Danio rerio: one gene and its partners. The protein of the gene in region 3 purifies or fractionates together with the protein of the main gene of each other region. This does not show direct contact. Links are inferred from orthologs where the notes say so. Each region holds a gene or a part of one and is shown on either strand. Other genes may lie near its edges.

Region 1 (4,611 bases), on a different chromosome or scaffold from region 3:
CACCACAGCTACGCTCCTTCAGCAGACCTCCTCATTCCTGCAGCACAAGAGCTTTATGATTATGAGCGCCAAAAGTGGCGGATCTGTTTGGCAAAATATTTGACTCTGGTCACCGCATCCCTAATGACTGTTTGGCGAAATTTGACTGCATATCAAACGACTGAAACAATATAACTAGAGAAATCTCCACTGTGCTGCTGAGTGAGAGCGCTTCTCACTGAATAGCACAGCAGCGATGACGCAAGCCTGCCGAGGCCTGATTGTGGTGTGAGTGCGGGCCATCGGGGGAGACGGGAGAGGGGACAAGCGTGCTTTGGCACGGTTCGAGGCAACTGTACCTAGTGTGAGTATGGCCTTAAAAAACAAGACTTATTAATGTTAAGGGCCTGACTGGATTGGAGGGTGGAGGATCACGATGCCGGTGTTGTCTATCGGCCCAACCCTAATACATAGCAGAGCTTGCAAAGAGTCTTTTTTTCCGACAACACGAACGTTGACAACATAACTTACTGGAAATCCAAAATACTTCCACACCGGCTACTTCATTGAAAGAGGAGAGGGTTTAAGTTCTGTCGACGGGTCTCCTGCATCTGCAGTTCAACAAGAGTGTTTCTTTTTTTTGGGGCTTGGCAACATCGACGATTCCATTTTTTGATTCGATAATCGAAATGGAGCATGAATTTCAATCCAATTAAAATAGAAATTGTGACACCCTTATAACGAAGAGAGAAATACAAGTGGGGATATCATTCCTACCGGCAAATGTGCATTTGATATCAAATACGAAAGTGAAAGCATGCCAAAATATTAATGAGCCGTTTATTCAATAGAAAAGCTGACAAATTACATCTGATCATTTTCTTCATTTTAACTGTACAATTTTTTGCAATAGGCCTATTGTTAAATGTTTTGTTTATTTCTGCACTGACACCTCAAAAGAAAGCTCAAAATTGATCTGCTTCCAACAGGTTTTTAAAAAACATTAATTCAATAAATAGAATTTTACAAAACATGACAACTAAAATGAAGCTATGAGAAAGTCTTACCTCTCTGATTTATATTTGGTGATAATGTGGGCATTAAAATTAAAAGATAGATAGATAGGCGGAAATATATACATCTATCCATCCATCTCCCCCCTCAAATTTAAATACATCACAATTGTATTTCTTTTAACTGTCAGTTGTATTTAAAGAAAAGTTATGATGAAGCAATGTTTTGCTTTTGACATTTAAAATTTGTGGCTAAAAATGAGCTATTAACTTTTTTTTATGGGGCCAGTGAAAATTTTGGCAGGGCAAGTAAAAATCCTAACTACTGGCTTGATTGGGCCAGTAGAAAATTCTTAGCACTGTATAACCCTTTTACAGCTTGAAAAGAAATTAAGATATGGATTTTTTTTTATATCCTATAAAATACATCTCCCACATGTAAAACAGTGATGGTCAATGGGGTAACATTATACAAATGTAATAAATTAAGATCTAAAGGTCTAATTGTTTTTAAAATTTAATATACAGCCACTACTATCAATAAAGCTTCATTTTATGTCATATTACATCTACATTTCAACAGGGCAAATTAATTTTAAAGGAAATCAATCCTGGGTTTAGGAATCAATAGAAAACACTAGAATGCAAGTATGAGGCAAGAAAAACTATCGGGCAGTTTGTGGAGGTTAAAAACTATGAGAAACATCTAATTTAAAACTATACCATTAGGAATAATGGCAATAACTACAATAGCAATGGTAATTTGTGTCAACAAAAGTTTCAATATTATCCAACTATAATAATATTGCTAAAGGGTCAAAATTAGAAGATTCTGCCCTGGTAAGTCTTGACAATATTAAATTATATAAAGCAATGTTGTACAGATTGTTGTAATAGACTATAATACAGAAACTAAAATAACAAAATATAAAACAAACTGGTTAAAGACAATTACACAAATTTAACATCATTTACTAAATAACTACAGTTTATTAGTAATAATAAACAATTATATGTAGTATAGTATGTAGTAAAAAATATCCTTAAATTCAGCATCAAGTGGGTTCTCGCGCTTCAATGCACTCGTTATCAGCAAGGAGTCTGCGAATTCACTAACGTTACGAAACAGTTTAGAAACTTAATGTGATGAACATGTAAACACTCAAACTGGGGCTTTAATTTGTTACCACAGACTGTCGTGCCTTTAAAGTGAAAGTGTAAGTTACCTTAAACTGAACTTGTGGCTCGTTCTCCGCCATCGCTGTACTGTGAGTGTGTGTTGGTCTTTGTGCTGCAGTCACTCTGCGGGAGAGATGGCGGGACGGTTAGTCACATCACACAAAGGCCGCACCAATTCCAAATAAAGGCCACGGGACCACAAGATTACTCAAATAAACCTTTTCGAGCCAATATTAAAAACAAAACCGCTTTTAGAACTTAAAACAAACAAATGTAATGCTCATTGAACAACACGCAGATCTAAATAAGGGGATGCGCGCGAACACACGAGGCCGCTGCCGCTGAAGCCTAAACTTCACAATACAGCGGCCGCCCGAAGGCCTCAAACAGGCCGTCAACATGAAAATCAACAAATAGCGAATTTAGTAGTTTTTAGAAATCCAGAAATTAGTTTAGTTGACAGAACTTAAAACGAAGTAAGTGTTGTTTCCGCGGCTCCAAGATCGCGCGCTACCAACAACTCGGGATGGCGCTACGACAGAGATGAGCCATGATGAAACACTCAAAACTGCACATCTGCGGCCAATAAAACGATCAGACTGACTTACTAGCGCCTGGGCACTGCAGAAAAGCTTTCAGATGTGTTTAGTCGGCGCTGAAAATAAAACGTGTTAGTGAAAAGAGTGTGTGATGAGATGAACGCAGTCGTTCCGCACTCACCGGTGTTGAAGTGATCGAGGAAGAGAGCAAATGGCTGCGCCCGCGCGGGATTCAGCATGGCTCACATAAACGCTTCCGCCCCACCACGTGACCTGCTGCTGCCGCGGGACAACAGCGTCATTTAGTGGCAGAAGAGCGAACCTTTTACAGCATATCACTCAATTTTCTTCGGCTTTAGTTCTTACTTTATCATGAGTGAAGAGCGAATAGATTAAAGGCATAAGTCACCCAAAATGAAAGTTCTGTAGACATTTATTCACTCTTTACTTGTTTCAAAACTAACTAGTTTTCTTTTTTAAATAAAAACCGACATTTTTAAGAAAGCTGGAAATCTGTAACCTTTGAAAGAGATGTGTGCACAATTTCCAAGACAAAATCCTGCCCCAACCAGGCAATGAATCTTCTGCCCGCTGAATAAAACGAGAGATAAAGGTAAGGAGCAGGTTGCCCTCTCAAGTGTCACCTTTGAGGACAGAAACACTGAAGGTAAATACATACAATTGTTACATTATGAAATTCAATTTGCACGTACGTACTAAAATAGTAATACAGCATGTTTTGGTCGATGTGCCCCTCTTTAGATCAAGATTCTTTAATAGATTGTTCTCTGAGTCATGAACTTCAGAAAATTGAGCAGAACGTCCAGCTCCAATTCCATTTCCAGCAAGACATCCAGCTCCAGCAGCCCGTCCAGCTTCAATTCCAGCAGCCTGCCCTTGATGATCAGCAGGTTCAACATCTGGCTCAAGACTTCAACGGTATATTGACCTTTATATGTATTTTGTCAACAATGTTCATGCTATGTTCCAACATCATAATATGTGTTAGCTATCTACCGGTACTTAATGTTTTATAGAAGCCTTTTTTCCTAAATCGAGTTGTGGAGACATGTGAAATAACCCTAAGGAAAGTTGTTCCTAATACATATGGAAATATTCCTTTTTATATGTTCACTAATGATAACTCCAATTACTTTACTTTTTGTAGGTGACATTTTGGGCTGCTATAAAATTGTACAAAAGCTTGGTAAGGGAGGACACGGCACAGTCTTCAAAGCGATTTGCTTGATGGACGGTCTTGAGGAACTACATTTTTACTCACTACATCTTAGCTAAATGTTTCTCTCACTGCCTGTTCAGGTCCTTTTATTGTGTCACGTTACATTGAAAACGTTTAATAAATGTGACTAATTCACCAACATTACAATTGTTGTGTTTTGTTAATCAGGTGGCATTGAAGGTTGTTTTGAAGAGGAACAATATGGATTATCTCAGCATTGTAGTTCTCTTGATTTTTAGTTCAAGATATGTTAATTATAGCCAAAAAAAGAATTTTCAAACATCACTGACAACAAATTTCTATCTTCTACAGCCTGGTCATCCTACTCCCCTTTCATTAGAAGTTGCACTAACAATACTTGCTAACGAAGGATTCCTCAGATCATCCAGATGCTGGAGTGGCAGGAGCTGCCAGACTCTTACATCATGGTTTTGGAGCACCCCTTACCCTGCAAAGACCTTTTTGACTTCCTGGAGCACTATGAAGGAACCCTCAGTGAAGACGTGGCACGGTACATCATGTGGCAGGTAGTGCAGGCTGCCCACATGTGCTGTCAAAGAGGAATCCTCCATCGCGACATTAAATTAGACAACCTGCTAATCAACAAGGACACCTATGAAGTCAAGCTTATTGACTTTGGGTGCGGTGACATCCTAAAAAC
Region 2 (2,806 bases), on a different chromosome or scaffold from region 3:
GTACGGCACAATGCCAGCATTGATGACCTCCTGAATCTGATAGTCTCTGCCAGCCGTGATGTTGGAGAGAGTCCAGGACGCCTCCTTCTGAATGTTGCTCTTTTGGTGGCGCAACAGAGCTGGGAACATGGGAAGAGCACCAGCCTCCAGCACAGCCTGCGTTTGTTCATCTGTGCCAGTGACAATGTTACCAATAGAACGTAGTGAGGGGGTCTGTGGCAGGAAAAAATAAAAAAGTTATTATTAAATTTACCATTTTAAACGTATAACTCAAGAGTTCACTACTTTCCACCAACTTACCACAATGGACAGCTCCCCAGATGCCAGTAGCTGCACCAGTCGAGGAACCACACCGGCGTTCACCACAACCTCAATGCGATCATTGGGCCCGTCGGTCAGGTAAGAGATGGCCCAGCAGGTGTCCGCAAGCACTTCTTTGTCACTGTGCTGCAGAAGGCAGATGAGTGTGGGTAGTATCTGTTTCACAGCCTCCAGAGGTGGTGCAGGGTTCTTATTGCGGCACAGGTTTGACAAGGTCCATGTGACGTTCCTCAGGTAACCAGCCTGTAGAAGAAAAACTGGCTGGTCAGGGTAATTCTACACAGCTTTCACGCCATCTAGCGGTAATGCATGCTCACTACAGTTTAAAACAAATAGTCCTGAACACCAAAAACAACATTGTTTGAGGTTTAGAGATAATACATGTAAAAACCTTTATTTTAATTTTTTTTAGCTAATAATTTTAAATACGTTTTATGCAATACACCTTTCAAGAACCCATGATCACTGTACAACAAATATACACAATTCAATAATTTAAAAATAAACCCACAGTATATTTAAAAAAAAAAAAAAAAAAAAAAAAGAGAAGATTATAAAATACAAATAGCCAAATAGCTTTGGCAGAGGGAACAGAGTGTATGGAGGAGAAGGATCTAAGGGAGCAGAAATGAGTGATGATATGGAAGAGATCAGACAAATAAGCTGGTGTGAGGTTATGGATAGCCTTAAAAAGTATGCAGGACGATTTTATAATCGACTCTAGGTTGGATTGGAAGCCAGTGCAGATTTTGTAAAATGGGGGTAATATGGTGAAAAAGAGTTTAGTGATGATGTGGGCAGCTGAGTTCTGGACCAGTAGAAGCTTATAGACGGATTAAAAAAAAATGTAATACATTAATAGGTTTTCTAAATGTAAATTTATAGGGAGAATGTTACAAGTTGCAATTAGCAATTTGTAGTCATCAAATTTGTAAAAAAAAAAAAAAAAAAAAAAACACAATTATTTTATTTTACAATCATATGTGCGCCCATAGGCGTTCTGATCTAAAAAAAGATGGCGTGTTGAGGTGCATTGCTATTTTGAGAAACTATAATAGTCGGTTCTATAGACCTGAACAAAGCCGGTCTATTGTCCAGCAGAGCACGTTAGTTGTGCGCCTCGCTTACACACTGCTTAATACACACAAAATGTAGAGCAATACGCAAAAATCTTTACATATGAAAAATTAAAATATAATACATATTAAGGATTAAAAATATTACAAAAGATTATTTTCAAGCCTAAATTAATATAAAAACTATACTTTCATGCCTTCATCCCGGGAGGCTTTTTCAGTTCATTCATGACAATTTGCTAATGTATAATGTATTATTTTTAGCAGTATTATATGCATATTTATATTTGCTTAATTAAAAACGAGCTTAGATTTGCCCACCTGTCAGGTTTCAGACCATATGGGAGTAGCATGTGTATTAGGATATAACTCAGGTTTTTGAACACACTTCGTTATTATTGTTCATTTATTTGTTTGCTGGAAATTAGAACAGATTTTAGAAATAGTTTTAAAACTAATCTTTGCGCTTAAACTAAATTAATTACTTATAGGCTAATTGATGTCGGTGCGTATGACACGTTTCCCTATCCACAAACGTGAAAGTTAATAAGGAGGCTCATTTCTCATTCTCGCGCTGTAGATGCTCTGTTTAACTGTTTTCTTGCTAGTGAAACGCTCAGTTTTTCCACTTACGTCATGTAAATAGCAAATGCGCTATGGTGCGATGCAACGCACTGTTAAAGGGAATGAGAGATGAGACTCTGATTGGTTTATTCTCAAAACACATCTATAACTCATTAATAAAATAAGCTGAACCCTTTCAGACCATGCGCCATGGCGCAAAGCGGATTTTTTCCCTCATTATTTAAGAAAAAGTGGATTCTGACATGCCCTAATGCGTTTGCACCCTGCGCATGGATTGTGAAAAGAGCCCAAGGTTTAAAGTAAATCTTAAGTGTATACCTTTATAATAAATTTAATATAATAATAATAATATCTATTAAGCTTAGAGTGTAAATAAACAAGAACAAAACTAATTAAACCGATAATTTTTATTATTTGCTTGAGAATCAGGTCAAAAACATTTGATAATTACGGAGGACAAGAATTGTAATTAAATAGTGAAAGGCAAATTCCAAATGTTTCAGAATTTGTGCATGAAAATATAATGAATTTGTCTGGGGTTTTCTTACATTTTCATGCGCAAATTCTGAAACATTCGGAATTTGCCTTTCACTATTTAATTACAAATGTTGTCCTCACTAATTATCAAATGTTTTTGATACTTAATTATCTGAGGAATAGTTATTTTTAAAACTTCTTAAAAAGTCATAAAAAGACAAATTTTTGCGATATTCAATCTGTAAATTGGTCTAAATCAGCTTCACATTATTTGGTATAATAATAATAATAATAATAATAATAATAATAATAACAACAACAACAATATTTTAACCAACTTAGATTGT
Region 3 (4,029 bases):
ATGTTTACCAGGGTTTACACAGGACATTAAAAGCGTTGAAAGTCATTAAGTTATTTTTGCTAAAAATCAAGGCCAATAAATGGCTTTTAAAAGCATTCAATTTCATCATGATGGGCATTCAATTTAAGTTTTAGAATAAAATTGTATTGGCAGCATATTTTGATTTATAGCCTCAATAAAAACATGTTTTAAGTGCATTTTCAGAGTGATTAACAACACAGCCGGTGTTGGAATTGGTTCCAACCTCTGAAAATTTGTATGACATGGGCTATCATGCTTGATTCCTTCAAGGATGGGATTGTACCACATTATAACAGATTTTCCTGTTTTTGTAAGTCTGTGGGATGCATATATATAATATATAATGTTATGTAATATATTATATAATATTGTGTAGTCCTATAATATGTGTGTATCAGGGAGCTGCTGTCAATATGCAAGGTAATGACATCACTTTAAATGTGCATTAATGCATTTTCTTTACGTGCACTACTAGGTTTTGAATCCCATGACCATACATACTCCATGTATATAAATAGAGCTGCGAGACTGGATGCACAATGTATAAAATGACATATATGTCTTTACTCTCTATATTTAATCAGTCTTACTGTCGAGCATACATTAGCTGTGTTTATAACTGTGTGTGAATTTCAGTAGTAATTAGTACTGACGTTGGAACTTTTAACAATCCTATTTGAATCCTCCCCTTTTAATTGGTTATAATATTCTTTCTTCTGTATTTCTTTAAGCCGGTAAGACAATCCCCTCCGATTTCAGAACCCGCCCAGGCTCCCCCTCCAAGGTAAGAGTAAACGGTTTGTTTTTATTATTATTAGAATTATTTACTCTTTGCCATAGTACCTGGGATTGTGTGAAGAAATGCTCAACATGTCAATTTCTTTGTTCACAGCACAAGTACTTTGTCGTACCCCTTGTCCAGCACCCCGGCTGCTAACAGTGCTGCTCTAGGAGGTGGCAAAATGAAGAGAGAAAGGGCCATCAGACCTTCATCCAAACGGCCTGATGATGAGGTCAGAGATATTCTGTTGCTTGTATACTAGAGTTGTTGCAAGAAATTGTTTCTGTTATTTGTTTATTTTCAAAAATGCATTGCTGTTGTTCTTTTTAATTGATTCTCAGCTTTGTTTTTAACAGCAGATGGCACCATATGCTTTACAAACAGATGTACTCTGCTTCCATCCGATTTCAAATACCTGTTTGGCCTAGAACTTTTATTAGTAAAGTTAGGGAAGGTATAGGCGACTACAAGTGTTCATAGTAAGCTGTTTACATTAATCGCAAGGCAAAAAAGCCAACTTGAATGACTCATTCAAAAGCACACGCTTAAGCCTAGAACTCCATCTGCAATTATAAATCAGCCTAGAGCGCCGACTGCTGTTTAAAAAGTAGCCTAGAGTGCCGTCTGCTTTTTAAAAGCTAGCCTAGAGTGCCATCTGTTGTTATGAACTAGTCTAGAGCGCCATCTGCAGTTTAAAATCAAGCCTAGAGCATCGTCAGCTGTTAAAAAGGTAACTAGAGTGCCAATGCTTTTTAAAAGCTACCATAGAGCGCCATCTGCAGTTATAAAACTAGCCTTGAGCACTGTTTGCTGTATAAAATCAAGCCTAGAGCATCGTCAGCTGTTATAAAAAGGTAGACTAGAGCACAGATGCTGTAATAAAATAGCCTAGAGCGCCATCTGCTGTTTAAAATCAAGCCTAGAGCGTCGTCAGCTGTTATATATGCAGTCTTAAACCAGCCTAGAGCGCCATCTGCTGTTTAAAATCAAGCCTAGAGCGTCGTCAGCTGTTATATATGCAGTCGTAAACCAGCCTAGAGCGCCGTCTGCTGTCATAAACCAGCCTAGAGCACCGTCTGCTGTCATAAACCAGCCTAGAGTGCCGTCTGCTGTTATAACCCAAGTTCAGTATTGCATTGCTTTTTGAATCTCAGTCAATTTTCTCCAAATGTTTTGTGACCGCTCTTGCTTATACACTTTTGATCAGAACTTGTTTTGAATCAGTCCACCAGAATGCTTAAATGCTCATACGCGTTTCTTCTTCCAGGTTGCTGAGGAACCAGATCTGCCGCCAGCTTCTCTTCCCAGCAATTTCACTTTGCCAACATTTACTTTCTCCACTCCTCCTCCGACCTCCTCGCTCAAATCCAGCACAGCACCACTTATAACCGTCTCGGAGGAGCCAGCAGCGAATAAGGTATTGCTTTTCTTTGAGCCACCAGAATCAAACTAAGAAGCTTATTACCGTTATGGTGGATGAATAATAGGTGCTAGGATCACTTTTGTTATTTGTTTAATCAGCAGCCGGCTGCACCATCCACACCACCATCTGCCCCCTTCACGTTCTCTTCACCTATCGTCAAGGCAACAGCTGCCAGCCCTCCATCTTTCTCTCCATCGGTAAGTCTACTTGCTTATATTATACTTCATAGGCTTCATATAATATGAGCGTTAAATAATGATGATTCTTCCCTGTAGTCTGGATTCACCTTCAGTGCACCTACTATGAAAATGGGTCCCTCTTTCTCCAATGGGAAAATTGTTCCATCAGTAGCACCAGGTAAAAGCTTGTTTTGCACTGCAATACGGATGTTATTTTTATAAGTACAGTTATGGTGTTAATATTTCTTTCCTGAATGTTTCAGTCAAATCAGTGGTCATTGAAGAAAAGGAGTTTGAAGGACCATTCAAACCTGCAAAGGTCTTAAAACAGGGCAGTGTGTTGGACATACTTAAGGGTCCTGGTATGATTTGTTTTTCCTCATTTATTTATTTCTCTCTATGAAACTTTAGTTGAATGCTGTTTATTTATTTGCCTGCTTTCTCTTTCAGGATTTGCATCCCCCTCTCAGAATTCGACTGATAAACCTTTACAGTCCACATCAACAACAACATCATCTCCATTTTCTGGTTTTGGTGACAAGTTTAGGCCACCGGCAGGATCATGGAACTGTGGAACTTGCATGTTGCAAAACAAGCCCTCGGACAAAAAGTGTGTGGCTTGTCTCGCACCACAGCCCAACACAGACTCTTCTAAATCGGACAGTAAACCCGCAGAAGCTCCTGCAAGCATCAGTTCCCTCTTTGCTCCTCCGGCTGGTAGCTGGGAATGTGACACATGTCTGGTCAGTAACAAACCGGACGCAGTTAAATGTGTAGCTTGTGACACAGCCAAACCTGGAACTGGAGTAAAATCCAGCCTGACTCTACTGGCTGCCTCTGAGTCTTCATCCTCTACAACCACCACAGCAACCACCACTGCTGCTGCTTTGACTTCAACTGGACTGTTAGGATTGGGGGACAAATTTAAGAAGCCAGAAGGGGCTTGGGATTGTGATGTGTGCATGGTTCAAAATAAGGCTCAGGATCTGAAATGCGTAGCCTGTCTGACCGCTAAACCAGGTAAAGTTTCAATTTTACAGTTTTATATTCCATCCCTATTTCTGCCTGATATTTCAATACAACATTTGTTTGTATAGCACATTTAAGACAATTACAATCGACCAAAGCGCTTCACAGAGTATAAAAATGAAGATGATTCTCTGAAGTAAAAAATCATTGCACATCAAGGCAGAAAATTGTTAAATGACAATAAGAGAGAAGTTTTAAAAGTAGAGTTTAATATAGATAAAACAGAGGCCGTTCTGATGTGCACTGGAAGACTATTCCACAACTTAAAGGGATAGTTCACCTAAAAATTAACACTTTTCATGATTTAATTTCCCTCTATTTATTCCAAAGCTGTTTGAGTTTCTTCTGTTGAATGAAAAAGGAAAATATATATATGTTTTAAATGTTGGAACCTGGTAGCCATTGACTTCCATAGTATTTGTTTTTGCTACACTGCATATCAATTGTTACTAGGGGTGTAACGGATCACAGTTGATCCGTGATTTGTACAGATCACAACCCACGGTTCGGAACAAATGTGACCTGTGGATTAATACTTTTTTAACTTGTGGATTAATCCTAAATTTGTAACGATTGCAGAGAGATCATCTCTCGAG
Region 4 (4,725 bases), on a different chromosome or scaffold from region 3:
AAGGGTTAGTCATTGGTGGTCAAGCCGCAGTCGCACTGCACTTTTCCCCTTACTGATTTTCATTCATACGCATGCGAAGGCAGGCAAACCGGAAATGCAAGCTTGTGTGAAGTTTCGCAGTTCACTGCATTCCAATTTGGCTTAGTGAACTTTGACCTCATCACATGAATATGTAAGACCAATAATAGATCGAAACGTGACCTATGTACAAAAATGTGGAGCGATTGCTTGCATTGTCAACGTCTAATCATTTTGTTATATCCTGCCCCCTTTTGCAGTGCTGTACAACAGAATTGTGAATGCTGAAACTCTAGTGTGACCAAGGCTTTATTTGCGATATGTGAATGTTTCCTACTTTCATACAGTTTAATGCAGTAGATATGTTTTTCTCATCACGGATTTTACAACGATTTTCAATCAGGTTTAGGTCAGGGCTTTGTGCTGGCCGTTACATTATTCCAATGTTTTCCTCATCGAGAAACTGCTTTACCTGTTTTGCTGTGTCGGAAAATTGATTGCTGATTAGGCCGAGAAGGTACCGCATGTTGTCAAAGGAGCTCTTTATAAACATTTGCATTTATTTATTTTATATTTATTTATCATAATTATTATTTATGCCACATAGCTGTACAAGAGACCAAACTACTGTAATTAAGGGATTTAACACCGTGAACCAGATTACCTGCGATACCAATATCGGCAGTATTGAAAGTAATGGTGGAATATATGAATTGCAGTACATTATTTCTGAATATTATATTCAAACTTTTGGGTAGAAATGTGCTTTAAATGACATTAAAATAATATTAATTCGATGAAAAGAGTAACATACTGTAAGTCATGAGTGTTTGCAACCACAGTGCTGCAAAACTAAACTAATGTATGATTTTTAATACCCCAAAATACATTAAGTAGTTCTAAATCATTCATTTTAAAATTGATTTTATGCCAAAAATCATTAGAATATTAAGTAAAAAATTATGTTCAATTAAATTATTTTGTAATTTTCCTAATGTAAGTATATGAAACTGTAATATTTGAATGCTAAAAACTAAATTTAATTAACTTTGAAGGTAATTTTCTTTAATATTTAGATTTTTTTAAACCTTCAGATTACCGTATACCAGCCAAATAAATCCTATCCTAACAAACCAAACATCAATGAAAAGCTATTTTAGTCCGCATTCAGATGGTTTCAACCCAAAATATCCCAGCGTAATGTAAAAAAATTACACTTATGAGTGCTTTTGTGGTATATAGGGTCCAGCCTGATCTCACGAGAAAACGTATTTTACCGGTTAGTGGTTTAGAGTTCAGTCGTTCAGTTGAATCATCTACTCAATACTGTTAATATTAATATTAAGAACGTTTTTTTCGGGTGTCTACAGAACTAAACCAACGTAGTTGTCATAATAACTTAGTTAAACCCTTTGGAGTGTGGTTTTGTATATGTAATTCTGTGTGTGAACACTGGGTGGAGTGCGGTTCTCAATAACAACACAGGAAGGCAAACGGGAAGCGTGTGACAGGTGTTTAATTAAGGACGCATCGAGACACTGTTGACATTTTTGTACCGTGATGGAAACTTGAAAAGGTCCTTTGTGTTTCACGAGTGGATGATACAGTCACACTGTGAGTAGGAGAACTGAACTGTATAAACTATATACAATCTGAAACGCAGTGTGGTGGCAAAATGTATATAAGTGATTGAGGTAAAGTTGGTTTTATCAATCGGACTTCCTCCTTAATTGGGAAATTGTAGCAGACTGTCAAAGTACAACATTGTTCACTTCACAGTCAGTTTAATAGTGCTAATGTTGTTTTTGGGGCAGATAAATGCCATATTCAGACGATAGTTTATTATACCCTGTAATATTCAAATTACTGTGGTAAATAGCAACCGTTAAATGAACAAATGTGCGAATTTAAAACCAAATTTTGGCTACCGTTAAACTGACGAAATATTTATGTCACATCCTGCTAAAAACAGCTTACCAGCCTAAGATGGTTGGCTGGTTTATTGAGGTAAAGTTGGTCTTATATTCGCACATTCAACTTTATAATATAATTAATAATAAATAATAATATTATATAATAATTAATAATATAATTTCCTAAAAGTATTATTTGCAAACTCTAAACAGGGAAATAAACAGCAGCTAATGACTATCAAAGTACAACAGTGTTCACAGTCAAATAAACAGTGTTGATGTTGTTGTCAAGTCATACTTGCATGCTAATTCCAATCGAATATTCAAAGTAACATGGCAACCCTGCTGAAAAATCCAGCTTAAACCAGCCTAGGTTGGTAGGCTGGTTTTAGCTGGTCGACCATGCTGGTTTTGGAGGGGTTTTGGCCATTTCCAGGCTGGTTTCCAGCCATTTCCAGCCTGGTCTTAGCTTGTTAGGCTGGGAGATGACCAGCTAAAACCAGCTTGACCAGCCTAGCCAAGCTGGGAGTCCAGCCAAAACCAGTTATGTCCAGCTTAAACCAAGCTGGTTTTAGCTGGATTTGGCTGGTAATTATTGAATAATGTGCAGGTTAGTGTATACTAATATTGGAAATTATTGGAAACCAGCCTGGAAGTGGCCAAAACCCCTCTAAAACCAGCCTGGTCGACCACCAGCCAACCAGCCTAGGCTGGTTTAAGCCGGATTTTTCAGCAGGGAAACAAAATAGAGACTGCTAAATGAAAGAATGTGCGAATGTAAAACCAACTTTACCTCTATCATTCGTTCATGTAGCGGATATTGTTTACCGTTACTTTGTATATTCGATCAACATTAGCATGCGAGTATGACTTCTAAACAACATTAGCACTATCTGATTCACTGTGAGCAATGTTGTACTGAGTCATTGGCTGCTAATATGATTTCCGTGTTCAGAATTTGCAAAGAATACTTTTCTGAAATTATATTATTTAGGAGAATGTCTGAATATCCGAATATAAAACCAACTTTACCTCTATGGCTGGTTTTAGCTGGCTGATCAGTCTGGTTTTAGAGGGGTTTGGTCCTGGTTGATGACGTTTTTTTTTTTTTTTTGCTATTTCTGCGGAGAATTTGGGTAAAAATCTGTGGATTTCTAAGGAATTATTTTGGGAGTATCATAACGAAAACCTTAATATGCTGTAACAACATCTTAACAAGCTGTACAACATCTACAGATTGCTTTTCAAATATTGCAGTGTACGTTGCAAAATTTAAAATTGGTTTTAAATAAAAAAAAAAAGACTAAATATATGATTTTTAGTCAACAGATCAGACAATAAAAACTCTGAACGGTGTTCAAATAGAAAGAGTTAGCTTTTATAAATATCTAGGTATTTGGATTGATGAGAGATTAGCCTTTGATATACACATTGACAAGTCACTGAAAAAGCTTAGGCCAAAGTTAGGTTTTTTATACCGGTCAAGAAACTGTTTTCCTTATAAAGCCCGCAAAAAATTAGTAGAGAGTACATTTCTGTCTATAATGGATTATGGTGATCATCTCTATATGCACGCAGCTACCCTATTAAGAGAATTAGATTCTGTTTATCATGCAGCGATACGCTTTGTCACAGGGGCAGACTCACGGACGCATCACTGTATTTTGTATGATTCCTTAGACTGGTTATCTCTATATCAAAGGAGAAAATGACGTCTGTACTTATTTATTTTAAAGGCTCTTTTAGGTAAATTACCATCCTATATTTTTAATTTATTAACATTTCACACCAACAACCAACACACTAGATCTGGTTCATGTATTCGTCTGATAGTTCCAAGGGCACTATCAGAACTTGGCAAACGTGCTTTTTCCGTTTACGCTCCCAGGGCTTGGAATGACCTGCAAAATCAGCTCAATCTTGACACTCTTCCGACTCTTGAGTACTTTTAAACATCTTTTGTACAACATTTTAAAGGACACCTGCAATTGTTTGTTATGAGCTGATGTTTTTAAGAATGGTGATTTTGTCATTTTGTGGTATTGTTTGTGATTTTTATATGAAACTTTATGTGCTGCCTGCCATCTTGACCAGGTCTCACTGGAAGAAGAGACAGTACTGTCTCAATGTGATCTCCTGGCTAAATAAAGGAAATAAATAAATAAATATGTGAATTAAAAAATCATATATTTTTTTTTAACTTTTATTTAATCTTTAAAATGCAACTCCAATTAGATCCACTCTATTTGGTAAACAAAGCAAGTCTCTCATATAATATCTCCACTAAAAGACAGAACATATTACTGTACAAAGTGCCTTGTGCATAAATCAGATGAACATGTTCATATTAGTCAATATTATTACTGTACTTAATTTAAAAACTGAATAAACATAGATGTACACACATTTACTCAAGTAAATAAACAGAATTAATGATGGACTGAAAATATGCGGAAAATCTGTAGAAACTATGTCCAGCTTAAACCAGGCTATTCAAGCTGGTCATTTTTAAGCCTGAAACCAGCCTGGAAATGGCCAAAATAACAGGCTGATCAACCAGCTAAAACCAGCCAACCCGCCTAGGCTGGTTTAAGCATTTTTTTTTCTCATTAGGGTACACCTTTAATGTCACTTTAAGCTGAATCTTGAAAAAAGTCAAATATTATTTTTTATTTATTACTAGTCAAGTATTATGTGCTGTCATCATGGCAAAGACTAAATAAATTATTAAAGCTGTCATGTTTAAAAATGTGTTGAAAAATCTTCTCGCCGTTAAACAGCACTTGGGCTCATC

Evidence for each region.
Region 1: the proteins of nup153 (region 3) and ran purify together in Homo sapiens (affinity purification with mass spectrometry; 5 studies listed by BioGRID and IntAct, counting the BioPlex papers as one, with this or other methods). This does not show direct contact. The link is inferred for Danio rerio from reciprocal best matches to the Homo sapiens genes NUP153 and RAN.
Region 2: the proteins of nup153 (region 3) and kpna2 purify together in Homo sapiens (co-immunoprecipitation; 4 studies listed by BioGRID and IntAct, counting the BioPlex papers as one, with this or other methods). This does not show direct contact. The link is inferred for Danio rerio from reciprocal best matches to the Homo sapiens genes NUP153 and KPNA2.
Region 4: the proteins of nup153 (region 3) and nup50 purify together in Homo sapiens (affinity purification with mass spectrometry; 8 studies listed by BioGRID and IntAct, counting the BioPlex papers as one, with this or other methods). This does not show direct contact. The link is inferred for Danio rerio from reciprocal best matches to the Homo sapiens genes NUP153 and NUP50.

The regions. Positions count from the first base shown.
Region 1 is NC_133189.1:25,978,866-25,983,476, reverse strand, and holds the start of ran (GTP-binding nuclear protein Ran), read right to left. Parts: upstream 3,024-4,611; 5' UTR 2,892-3,023; exon of another isoform or gene 2,295-2,891; 5' UTR 2,252-2,294; coding exon 2,219-2,251; intron 1-2,218. UniProt on the Homo sapiens protein: GTPase involved in nucleocytoplasmic transport, participating both to the import and the export from the nucleus of proteins and RNAs. Switches between a cytoplasmic GDP- and a nuclear GTP-bound state by nucleotide exchange and GTP hydrolysis.
Region 2 is NC_133178.1:24,115,578-24,118,383, forward strand, and holds part of kpna2 (importin subunit alpha-1), read right to left. Parts: intron 565-2,806; coding exon 301-564; intron 214-300; coding exon 1-213.
Region 3 is NC_133194.1:48,923,941-48,927,969, reverse strand, and holds part of nup153 (nuclear pore complex protein Nup153), read left to right. Parts: intron 1-752; coding exon 753-805; intron 806-913; coding exon 914-1,034; intron 1,035-2,069; coding exon 2,070-2,219; intron 2,220-2,323; coding exon 2,324-2,422; intron 2,423-2,500; coding exon 2,501-2,582; intron 2,583-2,667; coding exon 2,668-2,766; intron 2,767-2,854; coding exon 2,855-3,424; intron 3,425-4,029. UniProt on the Homo sapiens protein: Component of the nuclear pore complex (NPC), a complex required for the trafficking across the nuclear envelope. Functions as a scaffolding element in the nuclear phase of the NPC essential for normal nucleocytoplasmic transport of proteins and mRNAs.
Region 4 is NC_133179.1:71,848,770-71,853,494, forward strand, and holds the start of nup50 (nuclear pore complex protein Nup50), read left to right. Parts: upstream 1-1,520; 5' UTR 1,521-1,632; intron 1,633-4,725. UniProt on the Homo sapiens protein: Component of the nuclear pore complex that has a direct role in nuclear protein import. Actively displaces NLSs from importin-alpha, and facilitates disassembly of the importin-alpha:beta-cargo complex and importin recycling.